Alligator mississippiensis: one gene and its partners. The protein of the gene in region 1 purifies or fractionates together with the protein of each later gene. This does not show direct contact. Links are inferred from orthologs where the notes say so. Each region holds a gene or a part of one and is shown on either strand. Other genes may lie near its edges. The genes, in order: MPHOSPH10, IMP3 and IMP4.

The links.
Region 2: the proteins of MPHOSPH10 (region 1) and IMP3 purify together in Homo sapiens (affinity purification with mass spectrometry; 4 studies listed by BioGRID and IntAct, with this or other methods). This does not show direct contact. The link is inferred for Alligator mississippiensis from reciprocal best matches to the Homo sapiens genes MPHOSPH10 and IMP3.
Region 3: the proteins of MPHOSPH10 (region 1) and IMP4 purify together in Homo sapiens (affinity purification with mass spectrometry; 3 studies listed by BioGRID and IntAct, with this or other methods). This does not show direct contact. The link is inferred for Alligator mississippiensis from reciprocal best matches to the Homo sapiens genes MPHOSPH10 and IMP4.

What each region holds. Positions count from the first base shown.
Region 1 is NC_081834.1:35,430,949-35,438,201, reverse strand, and holds the start of MPHOSPH10 (U3 small nucleolar ribonucleoprotein protein MPP10), read left to right. Parts: upstream 1-4,170; 5' UTR 4,171-4,265; coding exon 4,266-4,345; intron 4,346-5,328; coding exon 5,329-5,989; intron 5,990-6,952; coding exon 6,953-7,098; intron 7,099-7,253. UniProt on the Homo sapiens protein: Component of the 60-80S U3 small nucleolar ribonucleoprotein (U3 snoRNP). Required for the early cleavages during pre-18S ribosomal RNA processing. Part of the small subunit (SSU) processome, first precursor of the small eukaryotic ribosomal subunit.
Region 2 is NC_081824.1:13,427,678-13,434,724, forward strand, and holds the start of IMP3 (U3 small nucleolar ribonucleoprotein protein IMP3), read left to right. Parts: upstream 1-3,956; 5' UTR 3,957-4,115; coding exon 4,116-4,679; 3' UTR 4,680-7,047. Other genes in the region: PLA2G7 (platelet-activating factor acetylhydrolase), read right to left, coding at 361-459. UniProt on the Homo sapiens protein: Component of the 60-80S U3 small nucleolar ribonucleoprotein (U3 snoRNP). Required for the early cleavages during pre-18S ribosomal RNA processing. Part of the small subunit (SSU) processome, first precursor of the small eukaryotic ribosomal subunit.
Region 3 is NC_081831.1:27,572,761-27,580,625, forward strand, and holds the start of IMP4 (U3 small nucleolar ribonucleoprotein protein IMP4), read right to left. Parts: upstream 3,099-7,865; 5' UTR 3,027-3,098; coding exon 3,024-3,026; intron 2,910-3,023; coding exon 2,801-2,909; intron 2,652-2,800; coding exon 2,568-2,651; intron 2,378-2,567; coding exon 2,268-2,377; intron 1,886-2,267; coding exon 1,753-1,885; intron 975-1,752; coding exon 790-974; intron 650-789; coding exon 555-649; intron 1-554. Other genes in the region: uncharacterized protein LOC102559449, read left to right, coding at 3,555-3,740, 3,828-3,931, 4,018-4,139, 4,250-4,402. UniProt on the Homo sapiens protein: Component of the 60-80S U3 small nucleolar ribonucleoprotein (U3 snoRNP). Required for the early cleavages during pre-18S ribosomal RNA processing. Part of the small subunit (SSU) processome, first precursor of the small eukaryotic ribosomal subunit.

The DNA of each region.
Region 1 (7,253 bases):
AAACCTCAGCTCTCTGAGGGTCAGAGAGACATAAAAGGGAGCTAGTATTCCAGGAGGTACTTGGCAGACTCCAATCAGCATTGAACACCTGAAACAGAGCAGGGAGAGAGCCCCAGGAGATAAGGGTTGAAAGGGTGTGTGTTTATTTTACCCTGAGAATGAGAGGGTTTTGTTAAAGTGATGGGAAGGCATTTTTTTCTTTTATATTTATTTGTTCTGAGCAGGGTGGGCTTTTGTTAAAGCTGTAGCTTCTTCCTTTTATGTTCCAGTCTATACTAATGGATGAGGTGTGGCTGTGAGGAGGAGGCCATAGGATGGCAGGAAGGCATGGTAGCAGCCCTGCCAGGGTGGGAGTATGAGACAGAGGGCCAGTAACCCAAACCAGAAAAGACAGAGAAGGGGAGTGGCTGAGGCCTGAACATGAGCAGGCTAGCCAGAGCCTGGAAGGGTGAGACCAGGGCTGGGGCCCAGATGCCGGGGTCAGGAACAGTGTTTTTCAACCTGTGGGTCGCAAGAATATATCAAAAGGGTTGCAAACAAACTTTAAAAATGGATTCTCCTTTAAAGGAGAAAAACTTGGGAAACTGACTTTTCCCTTTCAGGCTGGCAGAGCTCTAGCCTGTGAGGGGCTGACTGGGACTGGAGCCCAGGCATGGGGAGCAATGGGTTGGGAGTCAGGGCCACTAGGTCAGGACTGGCCACTGATGTTTACAAATGGGTCCTAGTACAAAAAAGGTTGAGAACCACTGAGCTAGAGGAAGGGGGCTAAAGCCCCAACAAAACTTTTGTGGCCAGAGGGCCAAGCTGTGTAAAGGGATGAGATGCACACTCAAATGATAACTTGTGTCATCTGTGAGATATTGGTGTGGTGGTAGGGGAGGAAGGAAGACCTGAGGAAACAAGTACCAAAAACAAATAGGAGAGAGGGAGAGCCCCAGAGGACTTGCCAATCTCAGGTGGGCAGCCTCCCCCATTAATTTTCTCTACCAACAAGGTATGGTAGACAAGTGAATGGGCTGTCATCCAGGGAGATCTGAGTGGGACCAAAAAAGACAGAGGGGGCCACAAGGAGGTAATATAGCTGCCCTTGGGCACTATCTTGTCACAGGTGCATGTTATTGTCTTTCTGCATATATTGGAGTGTCCTTCTAGAACGGTGTGGGCAATTATTTCAACTGGCAGACCACTTAATCAGTTTTGATGAGCTGTCAAGGACCCCTCACTTAAAATCTTTCAGAATATATAATTTTAATAAATTTATAGATGATACATACAGTAGATGTTTGATTTTTAGTATAACATTTTATTTAAAAAAATAATTGCTGTCCTGATTTGTGGGGGTTTTTTAAATAGTGTATATAGAGATGATTGCATAATAGCTCAAAATAAAGTCTTACTCTTGTATATTGTGAGGGGAGGAGGCATTGGAGGTGAGTGGAGGGGTGTGCATGCATGTAGGGGGTGGCTGCCTGCGTGCCAAGTCCCAGGAACTGGGGGGGCGGGGCATGCAACAGAGCTTGCCAGGGCAGCGAAGGTGCTAGCATGGTCTGTGTCCCCTCCTGCTGGTCCACAGCTGCCCCCACAGCATTCTGAATTGGGCTGAGCTCTGCCTGTTCCCACCCACACCAGCCTGGCCCCAGCCTGTGTGCATAACTTCCTGGTGGGGTTGCTCCTGCTGCTGTAGCTGCCCAGGTCCTGCTTCGCTCCCACTGCCTCCAGCAGCTCCTCCTCTTCCTCCTGCTATGCTGCTCCAGGTGAGGGTGGGGCATTGCAGCTAAGCAGCTCCTTCTCCAGTGTGTGGGGCACCAGCTCCAGGCCACCTTCCACCCACTTGGCCACTTGCAGGTGGCTTGCTCATTGCACTGGGTGGGAGTTGGATCTGGAGCCCTGCATGCTGGGGCAGGAGCTGCTCAGCTGCAACTCCCTGCTCCCACCCTGAGTGGTGCAGCAGGGGCCAGAGAAAAAGGAGCTGCTGATGGGGGTGGGGGGACCTGAGCAGCCCCTAGGTGGTTGCAGCAGCCCTGGGAGCAGCCCCACTGTTAAGCTGTGCACACTGGCTGCAGTCTGGACTGGGGCTATGGGCAAGCATGGGCAGGAGCATGGTGCAGGCTGCCCTGGGCAGGAGTGAGCAGGACTCAGCCCTTTGAAGAGTGCCGCGGGGGAAGCCATGGGCCAGTTCCAATCAATTGGTGGGTGTGGGCTGGATCCAATCAGTTGGCAGGCTAGATCCAGCCTGCAGGTTGTATTTTGCATGTTCCTGTTCTAGACAGTAGATCTGCAGAGCAAAAAATTTGTGCACAAATAGTGAATCTGTAGAAAAGGTCAGAGAGGAGGGAATTTTTTACTTTAGTAGAAGGAACTGGCATGGGAATAAAGGGAGAAAACAAGGTCTGGGATTAAAATATTCATAATAGTAACAATAATATTCCTTACTTTATTTACTCTTATAACTATAATGTTACATTGCATTAAGATTACTGTAAAATCCACTCTCTGATTCATGTTTCTTACCACCCACACTCAGCTTATTAAATAATGCTAACAGTAACAAAATTAAACTCTGCCTAAACGGAATACAACTTTTCAAAACAGCTGAATATAAATGCATTTTTCTAGATTACAAGCAACTTAAAATGCCCCTCTTGCAAAAGTATGCATAACTAGAATCCTTATATACTGAGAATTACAGGATTTATGATTTGGAGGCATCTATAGTTTAGTTAGAGTTTATCCTGCCATTGTTGTTTTATTAGGTGGGAAAATAAGCATTGTGTAGTTTGAAGGAAAACAATTCTTTGCTACCCTTAGATAGAACAAAAATATTCCGGAGGCTGCACGGTGAGCGTGAAGGTTGTTGTGCCAGTGTGGAAAAGGTCTCTCACAATGGATCCAGAGGCACAAATACAAGCCCTGCTGTTGTTCCTGGGCCAACACAGCTGCAAGTGGGTAGATTCAGGCTGGAAAGTGGGATGTGGCTGGATAGGATGCTAGTTACATTAGTCTGTGTGTCACTAGCTACTGGCTTCCTGCACCTATGCTAGCCTAAAGAGCCACCCAGGATAAGATAGACCTGGTTAACAGTGAGAGAAACTTGGGGAGGAATGTGGAAAGGAGAAAATTTGAGGCAAAAGGGGTGTGTGATTTAGGCTGAGAGTTCCAGAGATGTCATACCAGATGTACATATGTATGTGAAAGGTGGTGGGTTGGGGTACCTGTGTAGGAGAGTTTGGAAACTGGGAGGGAAACAGGAGAATTTGTGAAGTAATTGGAGGTATAACATTAATCCTCGTTGTTCTGAGAAGACCAAGGGTACGTAAGAGGCTAAGAACACGAGGAGGTAAGAGGTTCAGGAGATGCTTCATTAAGCATATCTGGGCTTTAGAGATTAGGGAGTATAGTTTTACAGCATGTGTCTGTATGTGAGAGTAGGTAACATACATAGTATAGTGGTGCTGCATAGGAAGAGAGAGGATGCAAGCTGTCCAGACATGTAAGACCTTAAGAGATGCCATACTAGGTCAGATCACAGGTTTGTCTCACCCAGGTTATCTCACAGTGGCACTGAGTAGCTAGCTGCAAAGGGCATAGGGCATAAAGAGTCTTTATGAAGGGCTTATCCAGACTGACCTACCCCCTGCCTCTTCCCTTGCAACTTCCAACATTTTGAGACCTCGGAAATAGGAATATGAAAGCCGCAGCCCTGCTGTGGTGGGCACTGGACCCCCGCTGCACGAGAAGCCATGTCTTTGGAACCTGCCAAAGCAACCAGCCTCTGCAACGTCCTGTGGCAACAAGTCTCCCAAGTGAACTGTGCACCCAGAAAAATCCTGCCCCTGCGTGTTTTCAATCTGCTCCCTAGGAATGCACGTCTGCGCCCAGCTCTAGTGCCCAGAGGCTGCCGGCAGGTCAGCCCTGGCTACTCCAGACCCCATTATTTTACAGGCCTCTGTCATACCCCATCCCCTTCTCTCTGCTGGGGAGTTCTGCCGGCCTGGGCCCACCTCACGCAGGAGCCCCTCGGGACTGCCCTCCGCTGGGATGGCCACGGGGGTCCCGGGGCGGGCGGGGCGCGTCACACGGACGCGGTCTCCACACGGGTCCCCCGCGGGGCCTGGGGCGCGTGCGCCGTGCTCGCCCCGCCCGCCGGGCAGGGCCCCTGGGCGGGGCGGAACCCGCTGTTGGCGCCCACGCGTCCGGCCGGAGCCTCTTGGCGGTGACTACTCCAGGTTCCGCCGCGTGGGGGGCGACTGGAGCCGGGCCGGGCCATGGCGGCGGGGCGCGGACGGTTGCAGGCCTGCTTGCAGGTGCTGGGCGGAGCGGCGGCCCAGCCGGAGCGCTTCCTCAGGTACGGCTCGCTGGGGCGGGCAGGACAGCCGAGCCGGCCCGGCCCGGCCCGGCCCGGGAGAGCCCCGTGCGGGGGCTGGGCCCTCGTGCTGCCTGCGGCCCTGCCCGGCCGGTGCCGCTCGCCCCGCGCTCCCGAGGGAAAGCCCCGCGGGGAGGGGGGGTTGCGGGGACACCAGCCGCGCTTCTTCTCCGCGGGGCCTGGCCGGCGGGTCCAGGAGCCTCCCGGACAGACCTCGGCCCTTGCTGAGGAGCGGGAGGGCGGCGGGGGCTGCTCCGTCCCGGCGCCGCTTCGTTTCCTCTGCTTTCACCGCGAGGAGGCCAGACGGGCTGCAGCGGAGTCAGAGCCGGTAGTAGCGAACCCGGGCGCCCCTGGGCCCGAGCCGGCGGGGGAATTGCTGACACGGAGGGCAGGGAAGGCCCGGCAAGCTTTTGGGTTGTACCGGGGCATTTGTCACGCATCCAGGTTGTAGCTGTATTTGGTCCAGAGGAAAAAGCAATCGGGGCTCGTGGACAGAGGTGACTTCTTTTATTAGACCAACTAGATTTTTGCAAAAAAAAAATTCTTCCAAGAAAGAAAGGGAAGATGGGTTTTCTTCACTACTCCCCGGTTTTGACTTTGTTGCGCCTCATCTGGCCTCCTCTTGGGGAAAGCAGAGGAGACGAAGCAGTGCCAGGGAGGGGACGGCCCGCTCCCCCCCACGTCCAGGGTCACAGCAAGCGGTGAGCTCCATCCAGTTCGACCGTGGAGCAGCCCGCAGCGCCAGGAGGTGCCTGGACCCGCGGACCAAATTATTTGCAAAAATTTTGTTAGTCTAATAAAAGATCACTTCTGGCTACAAGCCCTGATCACTGGTCCAGTTGTGGCAACTGAGCGTGTTTAAAAGACAGTCTTATAGTTGTTATGTTTTTTTTCATGTAGCACTACTTCAAAGTTTAAAGTTCATGGCTTTTCTTCAAGTTTTGAATGTGCTTTTTTCCCCTCAGTGTGCAGGACGGGTTGGCTGCAGACTTCAGGTCATTAACAAAGACTCTTTACGATTTGCATAAAGTGCTAGGGGCAGATGCAATCCATGGGAGTCCCTTAAAAGAACTGGTGATCGAGAGCTTTGATGAAGAACAGATCTGGCAGCAGCTTGAGCTCCAGAATGATGCAGTTCTGGACTATTTCAAAAACGAGGTTGCTAGAAATGTTAAAGACAAAGATCTTTGCCTTATCCCAGTCCAAGAAGAAGATGGTTCGGATGCAGAGACGAGTAGTGAGAAGGAAATGGAACCAGAAGACAGTATGGAAGCAGACCAGATCTCAGATGATGCAGAAGATGAAAGCGAGGATACAGAAAAGCAAACTAAATCCAGAACATTGAAGAGGCAGCAATACAGTGATGAGGATTCAGATATTGATTTTGATATTGATGAGCTGGAGGAAGAAACGAAAAAATCAAAGATGACTACTTCGAAAAAAACAGGGGAAAAGTCCATAGTGGATGATAAATTTTTCAAGCTGTGTGAGATGGAAGCCTTTTTGGATGATTTAGAGAAGACAGAAAGGCGGGAGATGGAAGAGGATGATGATGAGATTAATTATTTTGAAGATATTCATTCGGAGGAAGAGGATGAAGAGGAATTGGGAAAAGATAAAGTCAAGGTAAAGGTATTGAAAGCTACTAGGCAATAAGCTGGTTAAATAAAAATAACTCTTGAATTAAAACTTATTCCATAGTTATTAAAGACATGCTTTTGTCATGATTAAATACCTAAAATGATCTTCAGCTGCCTTAAGGATGTTGAAATGGCAGTAAGTGTAATTAACAACAGGAATTAGAATAACAAAGAATATGCTGTTTTCTCCATTACTTGAAATCTTTAAAGATCAGATACTTCTCCAAAAGAGATGCTGTGTTTAAATCACAAACTGGTGGACTGAAACCAGAAATTTAGCCAAACTTAGCCACATGACAATGATCCCCTGTGGAGTATGAATATTTTTTGCTTTGAGTGTGTGTGAACACACAAGTCCCTACCCAGAAGTGAGAATTCTAGTAGGTTTAGGAGGATCTTCATGCCTCTGCAGCATCTTATTGAAGTCAACGGGGTTCTGTATGATTAGAGATTTGAGGGGGGAAGGAAAGGGGTCATGATCTCCAAGGAATGGGGTGTGATGGGAGAGGGTCATGGTTTCATAATGCTGTGATTTAATCTGCAGAGTATTAACTTGGAAAATAACATTCATGCTTTTTACAGTAATGTTTATAGCTGTTCTGTTTTTTCAATGTGCTTGTCATGAAAGAAAGCTAATTGAGGCACTTCTAAAAGTGATAGACTTAGGCATCTGAGAGCTATGTATTCTCCCATTATAGAAGAACAAATTAATGTCAACATCTATGGCTCTTCTCCTTCTGTGCGGTTAAAGCAAGCAAAAATAAAATTTGTGTGATAAATATGTAGACCTGACACCATTCAAGCCATGATCTAGCCTAGTAGCCAAACAGTAGTGAAATGAATTGAATTACCATTGCAGTTTTTAATAACACTGCTCTCATAGAATAAAAGATTCAGTTAGATCTCTGTCACTATCACCAGGTAATCTCTTATTTTACCGTTTTCCCAGCCAGTTAAAAGTTCTAGAGACCTGAAATATAAAGATTTCTTTGATTCTGGTGGTGGTGATGATGATGATGATGACAATGACAATCCAGCTCATCATGATGGTGATGATCAGAATGAGGAAGATGAGATTGAAGAAGACATTTCTGAGTATGTATATTTGAGTATTTTGTAACTGTCCTGTTGATAATGACTGTGTTTATTTTGAACAACGGTATAACACGGGTGGGTGGGCAAAAGGCGACCTGCCAGGCCATTCTATCCAATCTGTTAATATTCATCTGCCCTGGGCTGCCTGTCATGCG
Region 2 (7,047 bases), on another chromosome or scaffold:
AGATCTAGATCCAGTTCTGCACTCCCCCGAAGTTTGGGAGGCTGGAGGAAGGTACTTATCTGCCTGTCAGTTTCATATAACATTTTGATCCTAGCATCCACCATATCAGCTCATTAACAGCAATTCTTGGACCAGAGGTGTTACCTGTCTGCCCTACACTAACCACCCAGTGTGAATTCTGCCACTGCTTAAGTCATTAAAAAAAATACTGTTTGCTTAAGCAGGCTTGGTTCTAGTTCTGAGCAGCAGCGATTTTCTTCCTACCTGAATAAGCAGACCTTTCCATGTAGTCAGTATCTAACACTAGTGCTGGGCTAGTGATTTAAGTGGGGAGGGACAGGACAGATATAGGTGTCCTACCTGAACGGTGTCATCAGTCATCAGGTCTGTGCAGCCAACAGAATAAGGCCCCTTCCCTTCAGGGATCCTGTAAAACTTGGCAGTGCCTTTGGTTCCCATTTCTTCAGCGCTTTAACAGCCAAACCTAAAAAACCACAACAGACCTTGGGAGATTCTTTTCTTCTTTTCAGACCAGCAAACTGATGCAATGGAAAAAAGAACAGGAGAACAAAGATTCAGGATGTTAAGGTTTGGGACCAAGCTACCAATTGGGGTCCAAAGAACCATGCATGAGAATCACAGATGTAAAGCCAGAAGGGACCATACTGTGTGTCATCGAGTAAGACTTCCTCTACAACACAGATCATAGAATTTCAGCAGTGCAGGGTATTGACTGAAGTGCTGAGGACTGGGGGAGATAGCTGCTTTGTACATGTGCTGAGGGGGAGGATGTGAGCTCTGATTTCCTTGGAAAATTCAACCTCCTTTGATAATTACAGTCTGCCCACTTCAATCAACTCCCTGTAGTTTTATCCGGATTCTTCACTTCCTGTCCCACGGGGCTGCATAGCACTTGTACGCAGCGTCAGATTGGTAGTTTTAAGATGTCTGTACATTAGAGGGTAAAATGCTTTATACAGAACTAAAGGGCCAGATTCAGACAGAGGTTATATTCGCAAAAGAGTATAAGCTATAGCAGCAGGACCCAGTGGTAGGGCACTGGGGAGGTGAGTGGTTAAGATGGTGGAAAACAGCTAGAGTCTCTCTCTCTTTTGGGAGCAAGCAGGGGTTCATGCAAGACAAAAAGCAGATGGTTCTGGACAGAGCTACAGAGGTTTAGGGTTCAACCATAAATTAAAGCTGCTTTTTGCACTGATGTGGCCTCCCCTGATTATGAGCTGACATATGAGTCTCACAAGGAGCAGGAGGTTGCCTTTGGATGTAGGAGTTCCATCTTTGTTCAAAGCCTGAGAGGAGCATTTTGGAGGGCTCCCCTTCTGGCAGCACAACACCATCCCCTCACACAGCTGTCACGTTTAGTGCAGCTCTTTGTGTCACACAGCTGGGGAGACATGTCACTTTAATCCCATGTACATACATGTGCATGCACACACGTACAATTTATGATTCTATGAAACTGGGGACTCTATTAGCCTCCCCTGCACAGCCCCATCCCAGCTTAGCCCCCATCTCCTTCTGCCTGTCTTTCAGCCGATGCCTCATTCTGATCCCTTTGCTGCCCCACCTTTCAGCTCCTGATATATTCTCTCCACAGCTTCCACCTCTAGATGATCTCTGAATCCCTTCCTTCTGCTCCCCAACCTCCCTTGCTAGTTGCACTGAGATCCCATTGAAGAACTATCCTATTTTCTTTCCACCTTTGCTTTGACATGGAGTAACGTTTTTTATAGCTATCTAGATATATCTATATCTATCTATATATTAGACATATATATGTATGTATGTATACACACATATACATACAGTATATGAAGTATTAAAAGATGAATTGCTTTATTTTAATTCAGAAGCAGAGTATGTATCATAAACCCCTAATAAATATGTAACCTGTGGTCAGTAGCTATGTCACAAACCTCAGCACTTCAACTGCTTAAAAACAGTCTCAAGTTAGTGTTAGGACATGAAGCACTTTCCCTGTTGGATGTATGCAACTGGATGGAGGAAAAGACATAACAAAATTGGCCTGTTTTTTTAAGCTCTGGAGTATTTACAACTTCCTCAACACTGCAGATAAGGCCAAGTGCTCACACGTACCTGTGACCACATACAAACCGCAAGCTTGCTAGTGGCTTGCCTAATGTAGGCTAGAACTTTATCAGCATTTCAGATCACGTTTTGAGTGACCAGGAGGTATATAGAATCTATGTGTCTGCGTGTGACACACATCTCCATAGTTATTTTAAGGGTGGGCCAAGTCAAGCACGCCGTGCTGTCATGACTTGCATTCTAGATCTCAAAATGCTTTCCAGACTCTGATAAACTGAATGTCAGGCTACCACTCTGACAAATCCTTCTTGTTGGATTCTTTATGGTTCTGGTCCCAGTCTAATCATTTCTTCCTCCACAGAAGGAAGTGAAGTAGGTATAAAATACTAACTTCCACTTCTCCTAGCTGTCAGTGATGACACAAGTAACCACACAGGAGACTCATCTCTGTTTTGCTTGTGGGGAAGGCAAGGCACAGGAGTGATCTGTCTGAAGCTCCACAGACTCTGGCAGGGATGGGAATGCAGATCAGCATTCCTGACCTCTGCTCCTGTGCTTGAGTCCAGCCGGCATCATCCCCAGAACAGTGTCACACTCTGTGCTGAAGAGAACCCAGGCATGTGAGGCCTGGCCCTGCAGCTGCTCTTAGGCAGGCATTTGCAGGGATGAGGAGGTCCCGTAAAGGCAGAGCTGGGACATAGAAATGGCATAAAATCCTACTTCTTTTGTTTTACTTCCTGCAGATGAAATATAGCTGAGCCCACTGAAGAATGAAAATGAAATAGCTGAGCACACTGAAACCCATTCTTACCTACTAATTTTGTTTCTCCAGATCTCCTTCTGTCAGTCCAGAATGCAAAAGTAAAGGAAAATTTGAAGGGTTCTTCTATTAATGTTCCTCTTGCTTTCCCAATGTCATGACCTTTGTTAAAGAAAATAACACAAAAGCATGTGAGTAGCTAGTATCCAGGTCTGCTTATTCGTGTTGCCTTTTCAAGGGTGGGGTCAAAATTAGGAGATGACTTGAAAGTATAGTTCAGTTCCCTAAGTCCTTCAGAGCTTGCTTTCTGCAGTCTGTCCCAAGTCAGTCAATTATACTGGCTGGCTCCTGGCGACAGGAATTCCTGATTGCCCAGGAGCCGACCTGAAAACACGTTTTTCACACAGGCGTAATGCCTTTCGGACCGGCCATTACAGTCCTGAGAACTAGATTCTGTCTCCTGTGAGGCACAAACCACTGAGATCAGGCAACTTAATGCTGCTTTGGGATAACCTAGGATAACAAGTCAGGCTTCTGCATACTATTTTGCCTATAGTTTCCCAAGTCTGTCCATAGGTTGTGGCACAGACTTAATTAACTGCAGCCCAGAGCACCAAGTACACTGACTTGTAGGTGACTGCCAGCAATCTGTAGCACAAGAAGGGGACAGTCGTTACACTGGACTGGCCCACACTACACTGGGAATCCCTGCGCGCTGCGGGAAGCTGGGTGCTTTCTAGACACCGTGTGCACCAGCAGTAGCATAACGCAGGATGCTGCTGCTACCCGGGGCACTGGTCCGAGCTTGACATGACTTACTGCCTAGTTCGCTTGCAGCCCCAGCCAAGAAAACGATGATGGCAAAATGAGAGAGAGAGGAAATACACTTTGGTCTTAGCCTAAAAAAAAAGCCCACAAAACCAAGCACCCCAGCCTGCAGCAGGGCAGCCGCGGCAGCGTGCAATGTCAGCCCAGGGTCGAGACACCCTGCCCCAGAAGCCCTCCGCCATCCGAGCAGGGGGAAGCCCCGAGCACATCTCGCGCAGGTTGCAGAGAACCTGCGGGGGAGGCGCCTGCAAGGGGCGGAGAGCGAACCCTACGTCACAGAACGGGGCCGAACAATGCGGAACGGAACGCTCGACCGCACAGTGACGTCACAAAGGGGAGCGGCCAATGAGAACGCAGCCCCGCACCCGGAACTGGAAGCGCTGGGCACAGCCACGTGGCTGGCAGCGGCGGCGGGAGCACTCGGACTCGGACTCGGACGTAGAGCAGCAGCAGCAGCAGGATGGTCCGCAAGCTCAAGTTCCACGAGCAGAAGCTGCTGAAGCGGCTGGACCTGGTGAGCTGGGAGGCGGCGGGCGGCGGCACGGCGGAGCTGCGCGTGCTGCGGCGCTACCGGCTCCCGCGCCGCGAGGACTACACGCGCTACAACCAGCTGAGCCGCGCCGTGCGCACCCTGGCGCGCCGCCTCCGCGACCTGGGCTCCGCGCCGGCCCACGCCGCCTTCCGCGCGCGCTGCACCGCGGCGCTGCTGGGCAAGCTGCAGGCGCTGGGGCTGGTGAGCTCGGCGCGCTCGCTGGAGCAGTGCGACCGGGTCACGGCCTCGTCCTTCTGCCGCCGCCGCCTGCCCTGCGTGCTGCTCCGCCTGCGCATGGCGCCCAACCTGCGCGCCGCCGTCGCCTTCGTGGAGCAGGGCCACGTGCGCGTGGGGCCCGAAGCCGTCACCGACCCCGCCTTCCTCGTGCCCCGCGCGCTCGAGGACTTCATCACCTGGGCGCCCGGCTCCCGCCTGCGCCGCCACCTGCTCGACTACAACCAGGAGCGCGACGACTTCGACGTGCCCGCCTAGGGCCGGATGCGCCGCCAGGACGGGACCCCAGGCTCCGGGGGCAGCGGCTTAGAAACGCCCTCCTCCAGCGACGCCCTGCGTCCTGGCCAGCTGGCAAGGACTGGTGTCTGCGCCCTCCCCAGTCAGGCTGCACCTGCCGATACAGCCTGCAGCTGCTGCCAGGGCAGGGCGTCCCCTTCTGCTGTCATCAGCCTTCACGGACGGGCCTGTTCTCAGAAATCCTTGGACCCGGTTGCATTAACTGTCATCCTCAGCAGTACCCAGACCCCCTCCCTCCGCCCTTTCTCCTATTTAATAAAAAGAAACAAATTGCGTTTCAGGGAAAAGCCTTTTGGTTTCTTTAAAGGCGCAGTCGCACCTGCCTTCTCCAGCCCTGCTGCTGTTTTCCAGCTGAAGGAACTGAGTGGGGCGGCTTGCTGCCCTCGCCTACATCGGGCATCCCCCAGCTCCCCAGAGCGCATCGTGGGGCCCCTGTCTCAGCAGGCCCCATGGCACTCCCCACCGCACCGTGTCAGCAAGCTGGGGGATACCCAGCAGGTCTGCTTCCAGGCTGCGTGTCGCCACCAGCTCTGCATGTTTATGGTCTACTCTCTACCACCCCATCCCTGGGTCCCGTCCAGACACTGAGTAGCGGGACGTGTTCAGTGAGGACAAAGGTCCCTTGCGGACAGACGTTTTGCTGTGTTCCTGTGAGCCTCAGCTGGCGGCTCCTCCACTGAGCTGTCGCCACAGGTGTATGTATACCTGGCATGTGTCACAGATGTCCCGAACATCTGCCTCTTCTGCAACCAGAGGGAGACCCTGACCTATGTCTGCGTGGGATGTGCCCAGCTGCAGCCCCTTTACCGCCTCCTTCAGAGCCTCCTACTACAGTTCTGGCCACGCTGCTCCCTGCACCTTTTTATTTGCACGCTTCCCATCTGCGGCCCCACCAAGTCCTGGGACCTCCTGATCAACCTCCTCCTGGTCCTGGCTAAGCTCACAATTTATCTGACCACGAAGGAGGCTCTAGTGGGGAGGACCCGTGGGGGCTGGGGAGCTGCTTTCTTGTCCCTTGTCTGATCACATCTCCAAGCAGTTGCACTGGGCAGTGGGAGACTTGTAGGTTTTTTTTGGTGGACATTGGCTCATGATCCCTTAAAGTAGCAAATTGCCCTGTGTGGCTGGAGCAGTTTTGTTTTTTTTAGATGAATCCTGTTTGTGCAGTGTTAGTCGGAATGTATCTGTTAGTGTTAGGCGCGGTGTTTCCTGTTACTCTCCTGGGAGGATGGGGACTGTTTACAGTAGTGCAGGCGGTTTTCTGAGCACTCTGTGTCTGTGGGACCGGTGTCTGCAGAGTTGGACGGTAACTTTTCCTGTGTGAGGTTTGAGGATGAATGCTGTGCGCTCTTGGGAAGCTTTGCCCTAAGGCGCTTACATGACCACTGGCAACACCCAGGGCTTGGGAATGACCCAGTTTCCAGAGGGGTAACTGATACTTCAAAGCACTAAGGCCCAGATCCTGCCTAAATGCCAGTGGGGATCCAGCCCTTCAACTGCTATGCCCAAGGTCACAGAAGAAACATCCTTAACTGCCACTGTCTCCTGCCTTCCTTGTGTGCATTACAACATGCAACATGTTTCACACGCACACACGTTGCAGGTCTACAGAGAGCTGGCACCCCTGCGGTGGAACTGGAACTCCAGCTCCTTAATTCAGGGTTGACTGGCAGCGGCGAACATACCAACAGCTAAGGACCGTGGAGGACAAATCCTTTTCAGTCCTCTGCCCGTCTTTAAAACTTGCTTTCTTTTTTTAGCTGGACTCAAAGATGAAAAATAGGGGGACTCTCAAGGAGTTAAAGCTGTTTTTAACTACTTTGCTCCCTCTGATACTGTTTGTGACTAACATCTTCAGACTTTCTGGAAAAGGCTGTTGGAATCTCATGCAGGAGGAAACACATGCTGTGAGGCAAAGTTGTTTATAGCATTACATTCCTGACACAAAACTGAGCGGAAATACTCTCTCTGATCCTTCAGTGAGCAAAAAGGGAGGGTATTGCAAGCTCTTGAAGTTGGCAACCCTTACAAAGAAGTTTTGTAAAATTTTCAGCAGCCTGGAGATAGCTTGATCTTTGTTCAAACCAGAAGAGGAATGCAAGTCATAATCCTGAGAGAATAAGAACTTCACACTTAACTACGTGGGTTAATATTGTTCATTCCTAAAGGCAATAGAAATATTAACAGAAAGCAAAGCTATTCTAGCTAGGCCAGTGAAGTGCGACATTTATTTTTTAATGCAATAACTTAAATCTGCCTTTGAAATAGGACCATTCTGCTACAATCTCTTCTTGATCTTCCTTGAAGCTGTTTTTAATGTTTATTATGA
Region 3 (7,865 bases), on another chromosome or scaffold:
CTTCCTCTCTACAGCACTATACTCGGCAGTTCCCCACCCCAGAGCTGGCTGCTTCTCAGCACCCCCCACACCATGTGCTGTTATATTTCGGTTCCACTCCAGAGCTAGCCACATCGTCACATTATACTCAGCCAATCCCAGCTACCCCACCCTAAAACTGGCTCCACCTCAGGCTTCCTCATGGGGCATCATAGTCAACCATTCCCCAACTGTTCCCCACAAGAGCTTGCTGCATCTCAGCTTCTTTCTGTGGTGTTATACTTGGCTGTTTGACATCCCAGACCTGGCTGCATCTCAGCCCTCACTGTGTGATGTTATACTTGGCTGTTCCCTAGTCGTTTCACTCCACAGCTGGCTGCAGCTCGGCCTCTCTCTAGTATTATGCTCAGCTGTTTTCCAGGCACCCCAGCCCAGATCTGGCCATATCTCAGTCTTCCCCGTACAGCATTATACTCAGCCATTCCTACAGGCTGCACCCTGGAGCTAGCCACATCCCAGCTCCCTTTCCCCATTACACTTGGCCGTTCCCAGCTGCCCCCCACAGCTGGACCCACCGGAAGGAGATGTAGTCATCCTGGTTGGCAAAGGTGACCACGCGCTTGCTGTCCTCTTTGGGCACTGGGAACAGGTACTTGAGGATGCTCGTCACCTGGGGAGGGGAGGGGAGGGACAGAGTGGGGGAATAATTTAGATATGGCAGCCCCCACAGGTGCATCCCACCATAAATCCCACCCCAAACCCAAGCTCTGCCCTTTCAGCTCAAGCCCCTTCCCTTCCCTTCGGCCACACCTGTTCCTCAGAGGCCCCACCCAAACTCACACGCTGGCCCAGGCGAGAGGTGAGGCCATGGAAGATGAGATGAGGGGCAGCTTGGGGCGCAGGGCCGATCCCAGGTACGTCATGGCGCATCACCACGTTGGCCAGTGTAAAGTAGGCTGTAGGGCCCAGTGGCAGGTGTGACACAATCAGCCCATCTGGGGAAAAAGCCAGGGGTTGGGGGTGGTGTCAGCAAGGAGGGAGGAGCGGGATCTTGCCAGCAGGCCGTATGCCCCCAGCATGCACTGCTTCCCACCCACAGCCCCCTCCCAACAGGCACTGCTCTGCATTAGCCCTGGCTATATCCTTGGCTCCACCCCTTCCTAGCCTGCCCTACTAGGCTCTGCCCACCACCCCTTCCCAGCATGCACTACACTGTGTCACCCCTTGCCAGATCAGTCTATCTGGGGATGGAGCCAGGGGAGATCAGAGGGGCCTTGCCAGCAAGCCCAATCCCTTCCAACAGGCACTGCCCTCCTCTTATCACCCCCTCAGCTCTGGAGGAGCGCCCACACACACACTCTGGTGTGCTCTGTGCCACACCTTGCAATCCTTGGCTCCACCCCATTCTCAGCATGCACCACTAGGCTCTATCCACCAGCCCTTCCCAACATGCATGTGAGAGAAGCATCTCCCAGCATCCCCTAGGGCAGGAGGCGGTCCAGGAGGATGGGGCTTGGCCAAGAGGGGCATGGTAAGGGACAGAAGAGGTGTAGCCAAGACAGTATGGCCAGAGCCAGGGGGGCCGGAGCATGGCCAGCAGGCAGAGGGGGTGTGGCCAAGCCACTGGCTAAGAGGGCAGGGCCAGGGAGCAGAAGGAGCAGAGCCAGGACAATGGGTGGGGCCAGAAGGGGCATGACCAAGCCAATGTCCAGGGAAGCAGGATATAGCTAAGAGAGCAGGGACATGGTGGGGGCAGAAGGGGTAAGGCCTCACCAGGGACACCACGATGCTCATGAAGCAGCAGCAGGTCAGTGAGGCCATTGGCGCGGCAGGCGTGGAGCAGTGTCCCCAGCTCTGCCCGGCCCCGGTTCATCCGCTGTGCTCCCGGGAACACCAGCTTCAGCTCCTGCGGAGGGGGAGGGATTATCCTTAAACCCCACCCCGTACTGCCCAAGCCTCGCCCCTCCCAGCTCCCAGGACCACCATGGCTACAGCTCTGCCCTGTCCCACTAGAGGGGCCTCCTGAAGCCCAGTCTCCAAAGCAGAAGCCCCGATTAGCCCAGCCAGCTCCATGCCCTTATATAGGTCGGGTCCCTGTAACCTTTGACAAGCTACAAACCCTGCTCCTTCTGCCCGTCCCCAGAAACACCCCGCCCCACCCCACCCGGCCGGGAGTATATACCCCACCCCCTCCATTTACAAACCATGCAGCCACTTGAAGCCCCATTCCCCTCCCTGGGATAGGCCCCTCTAAACCGCACCCCCTCCCCAGCACTCGCCCCTCGCACCTTCACAAACATTTTGAGGCGCGCGCTGGGGTCTCGCGAGGTTGTCACCATGACGCGGGGGTCTTCGGCCCCTGCCCAGCGGTACTCGTCATCCTCAGCCACCTGCAGGCCTGGACGGCAAGCACGGGTTAGCCTCGCCCCTAGCCACACCCCCTCCCGTATTCCGCCCCTACTGCCTGTCTGGTCCCGCCCCGCCCCTACCCTACCCCCTCTTAAGTCTAGGCCCGCTTAACCCCGCCCACACACACACACACGGGTTCGAGTCCTAGGGGGACAAGGACCCCACCCCACTCCACTCACCGTCAGCACCAGGCCCGTCAAACTCGAGGGCGCGCTGCAGGGTCAGGGCCTCGCGGCGGAGCTCGGTGGGCAGGAGCCGGTTTTCTGCGGGGGGAGACAGGACGTCACGGGGGGCGGGGGACGCAGGTCGGAAGGGAGAGGTACCACGGGCCAAGTGGGGTGCACTCCGAGCAGGGGGAAGGGGCATCAATTTGGCGGGAGTGAGGGGTAGTGTGGGGCCGTGGGGGTGGTACCGTCCAGCGCCGCCCGCAGCTGCTCCTTGCGCTCGCTGCTGGCCCGAACCCGCTCCTCCTGTGCTCGGCGCTGTAGGTATTCGCGGCGCTGTCGGGCCTCGCGACGCAGCTGGGGAAGCAAAGAACCAGGCGGGTGTCACCCGTGGACTGGGGGAGACAGATCATCCCCTGGCCCTGGCCCCCACCCTCAGGTGTGACCCTACAATAACCAACAGACCCTTACCATGGTGCTGGCTTTGCCTCTCCGGCTCTTTTCCTCCACGTGGGAGCCCAACACCGCTGCCTCCGATTGATCGAGCTCTTGGGACCAATCAGAGAGCAGAAGGCTACCTAGCGGCGCCAACAGCCAAGCAGGGCCATGGTGTGCCCTGAACAAAGATGGCGGATAGGAAATGTGAATGATGGAGAGGATTCAGGGCAGTGTGCCCTAAACAAAGATGGCAGAAAGGGAACAGACTGACGAACCCCTCACAAGAATGGTGGCCTTTGCCCTCGGCTAAGATGGTCGCCAACGGGGACCCAATTGGGCTCGTTTCGCTCCTCCTGGCCCGCCCCACCCCCAAGAAGGAGGCAGTGGATTCGAACCCGCCAAGAGCAACTGGCCAATGAGAGCTGGCAGTGCTACTCGCTATGCGCCTTGATTGGTGGGGCCCCGCTACAGCTGGTTTCTGGCTGGCTACAGCTGGGGAACCCCCAGTCCGACCTGAAGCCGTGCCGGGATGGATTTCCGGGATTCAGTCCGGGTGCGGGGACGATGTCGGAGGCGGCGGTGGAGGAGGGGCGATGCTCGGCGGGGCTGAGGCCTGGGCCTGGGCCGGGGCCTGGGCCTGGGCCTATCCTGGGTCTGCGGTGGGAGCTGGATGCGCTCGTGCTGGAGCTTCTGGACACTCTGGAGGCGCTTCGGGAGCGGCGGGAGGCGCTGAGCGGCCGCGTGGAGCAGGTAGGACCGAGACCACCCCTCCCCCCCCTTTCCGGTGCCTCTCACTCTCGACCTGCCCTTCCTCTAACCCCTATCTGTCCCCGTCAGGGCTGGTTCTCGCTGTCCAAGGCGCGGTTCTCCATGGGCTGCAAGTCGGTGTCGGCCCTGCAGTACGGAGCCCAGATGGAGCCGCACGTTCGCGTGTGTGTCAGGTGGGTCGGGAGCGAGGGGCACTGATGCCCGGGTTTTCTGCCAGGGTGCTGCTCCCTATCTCCCTCAACGCCCCCTCCCTCCCCAGCGAGGGGCCAGATGGGCACCTCAACTTCCAGATCGTTCGTGATGATTTGGGTGCCCCCAAAGTGGCTGCGGAGCCACGGCATGTGGAGGAGATTGGACCCCAGGATCAGGAGGAGGTGACAGGTAACGGGGGGGAGGGTTGTGGGTCAGGGGTGAGGAGCACCACGAGAGGATGGGGGGGTGCTGTGAGTTGGGAGTGAGGGGCACCATGATCCTGTCATATCCTTCCCCAGGGCTGCGGCACCGAGGGAGGCGACCAGCGGGGGAGGCTGAGGTCCTCCAAAGGCCGGGGCCAGTGAAGGGGCCTGGAGGCCGTGACCCCCTCACCTGGTTCGGGATCCTGGTGCCTCAGAGCTTGCGGCAGGCACAGCGCAGCTTCCAGGAGGGTGAGTGACCACCCCCAGCAGCATTCAGCCTCTCTTAGGACAGGATTAAGCCCCTCTTTCCCTCTGTGGGGTCAGGGTGCCCCCCCTGGCTTTAGCCTTCTGACTCCTGACATTTGCCTTGAGGACAGGATCAGGTGCCCTGGCAGAATCGGGGCTCCCTGGTCTCTGTACCACCTAGGGCAGGATTTGTCACCACTCAGAGTGGGTTCAGGACCCTCTCACACCTCTAGTGCAGGAAATTTTCCCCTGATCTTTACCCCAAGGGCCTTCTCTTTCCTCCCCCACCCCCAAGGGGCATGGCTGACCCCTCATCTTTGCCACCCCAACCTTTGGTCGGTCACCCTTGCCCCCGATCTCTACTACTGAAGACGGGTTTGGGACCCCTGCCTCCATCCCCACCCCCCCCGAATACCACCACTGACCCCTGACCTTAGCCTTCTAGTATTTGACTTATGCTCCTGAAGACAAGATGGAAACTGTACCCCGCCTCATGCACACCCACATGCTCACGCGCACACACGATTAGCCCAAATCCATGATCTTTCACCCTTTGACTTTTTCGCTCAATCCCCAGGGCTGGCACTAGCAGGGGAGGTAGCAGCGCTACAGAACCGGGTGAAGGCAATACGGACTCAGTATTGTGCCCTGCTGAACCAGGCCCATGTGGGCTGAGCCCTGCTTTCCCCTCTGTATTGCTGGGACAACGGCCCCTGGGGACAATAAATTAGGAGCTCTGCACAGCCAGTGTCCCAGATACCTGGGTTCCTTTGTGTGTGTGTTTTGAGGGGACCCAGATGCCTGCCTTCTCTGTATGTGTTGCCCGGGAGGCTCAGAAGCCGTGTGTGTGTGTGTGCGTGTGTGTGTGTGTGTGTGTGTGTGAGAGAGAGAGAGAGAGAGAGATCCTGAACACCTGGGTCATGTTGTTGGTGGGGGGGAGTCTTGGATGCCTCGGCTTCTTGTATGTTTGTATAGAAAGGATCCTGGGTGCCGGGTGTGTGTAGAGGGGGGGTCCCAGATGCCTAGTTCTCTGTATGGGGAGCGGCACGGAGCAGAGAGGCCTGGGTGCATGTGTTCTCTGTGCATGGGGGTCCAAGATACCTGGGTTCCCTGTGTGTGTTGGGGGAGGGGGGTAAGGCCTGGGTGCCTGGTCAATCTCATGTGGGGCACCCTGTAAATGTACTTATCTGGCAGGGGAGACACCATGATCACCCAGGTAGTTTTTCTACTGCCTGGGGAAAACCACAAATGTGGCAGGGGGCAATACCCTGACTGAGGTAATGCATAGTTAGCCTCTCACTTTCATGTCAAGTGGGAAGATCTCGGCTATTCGCCGACTTTATAGAAATGGGAGATTCCTCCCTAGCTTGCTCCTGCAACCATACCGCTGAGGGCAGGCAAAACTCAAGGGTATCCGAACCCCAGGTCTCTGGGCTTGGGCCTGCACGTAGGATGCCTGCCAAAGGATTTGGAAGTACCTGAAGCCCCAGCTGGCTGGGGTGGGATGCTTGACAGTAGCAGGGCCACATATGGTTCTTGAATGACACACGGATTTGGATTTGATTTGCCTGATTTGACTTGGGACATGGAAATTTTCCTTAAAAAAGTCTGTTGGAGGGGGAAGCCCGGCACCTAGGTGATTCTCTGTATGTACAGGGGATCCTCGTGGGACCATAAAAGCTACCTGTGCCTGCTCCCGCAAGGTGTTACATATGGGGTGTTACACAGCCCTCGACCTGGCCAGAAAACCACTTGTTTGTTAAAGCCAAGCAAAGCAGGTGCAGGTTTTGTCCCAGGAAAAAAAAACCTTGTCCCAGACAGTGAGAAGATGATGCTAGAAAGAGAGACAAAGTGATGAAAAAGATCTGCCAGGCTGGGGGTGCTTATCAATTATGCAAATAACCTCTAAATGGCCAGTAGCCATAGTGATAGTCATGGAGGGGGTGGAGAAATAACTATACGAGTCACAAAAGGCATAGAAAAAGTTGGAACTAAGGGATTGTTGGATGGCTAGACTATACCCCAGAGGCTCCTGACACGCATTACATTTACGCACTTGACCAGTGAATGGTGTGAGATAAGTAGATTGGCCACACAAGCAAAGGAATTATCATGCCATTCACTAGTCAATCACCCAATGCATTTAGGGAAGCCATAAATGAAAATAAATTGTCACACACTGAACTATTCAGTAACGCAATAACTAGATGGGCCAAACATGCAAAGAAGTTCTTGCAATCAACTGGTCAAGCATGCAATAAATGGAGACTGGCCACAAGCACAAAGTAATTACCACGTTATAAAAATCACCGTCCAGCTATGAAGAGAGCCAAGCAGGTACAAAGTTAGTGCTTGAAAATACGTCACAACTTTATGACTAGTTTCTAGCCAGCTTTCATTTGAATGTGTAGCAGGGCCCTGAATGTCTGAGTGAGACCCTGACCTGTCTGATCCACAAGATAGGGAGCAAGACTCACTTGCAAGGTAGCTAGTGCAGTTCTAGGTAGGGGAGTGTGCACTGTCTGCTGAATAAACTCATATGAGTAGAGGGGGAACTCCTGTCTCTCTAGCATCCTGTCTCTCAACAACCCGCTGGTACCCCAAACCCTTGGACTGAGGTAATAGAAGGTTTTGAAGGTTTTTGGGGGCACCATGGTGACCTGCACAACCACATAGCTGTGAATAACTGTGTGTTTTTGATTGTGTGTGTGTGTACACACAAAATTAATTAAATGTGTGTGTGTGTGTGTGTGTATATAAAATAGATGTATGTGTAGTGTGTGTCTGCATGGATATGTGCGCACATGCATATGTATAATATGTATATATAAAATGAGTGTGTATGTGTGTAAAGTGCATGTGCACATGTTGAGACATAAAATGAATATATGTGCATGTGTGCATACACAACATTAGTGTGTGTGTCTATCAGATGGATAGATAGATGCATAGATAGATATCCAAAGCCACAGTACTATAGTTAGCTTACGTAACTCCTCTGGTGATCAGAGACTGTAGTCCAACCTGGCCCCTAAGGCAGGATTAGCCCTACCCAAACCATCCCAGACAAAGCCATTGTCTGAGCTCTTTGTAAAACAACTGTCAGTCATGACACAACACCGGACTTCGCACCCAAACCTGCCATGGGAAAAGCCAGACCACCACAGGAGTCAACATCCTGCTGATGTTAAAGATGGTTAATAAATGCTTCAGACATTTCAGGCAGAGGCCATGCCCATGCTAGGAAGGCAGGAAAACCTACCTGGTCTGTATTAATCTGACCTTGGGGGCGGGGGGGAAGGGATTCCTTCCTTGCCCCAAATATGGCATCAGTCTGATCCTGACCAGAGGAGCAAGACCCTGCAGCCAGGCCCTTCCAGGGCTGAATCCCAGCAGAAGCATTGTTACAGCCCAGTCACATTCCCAGCTTGGGCTGCAGCCAACTCCCAATGTCTCTGAGAGGGGC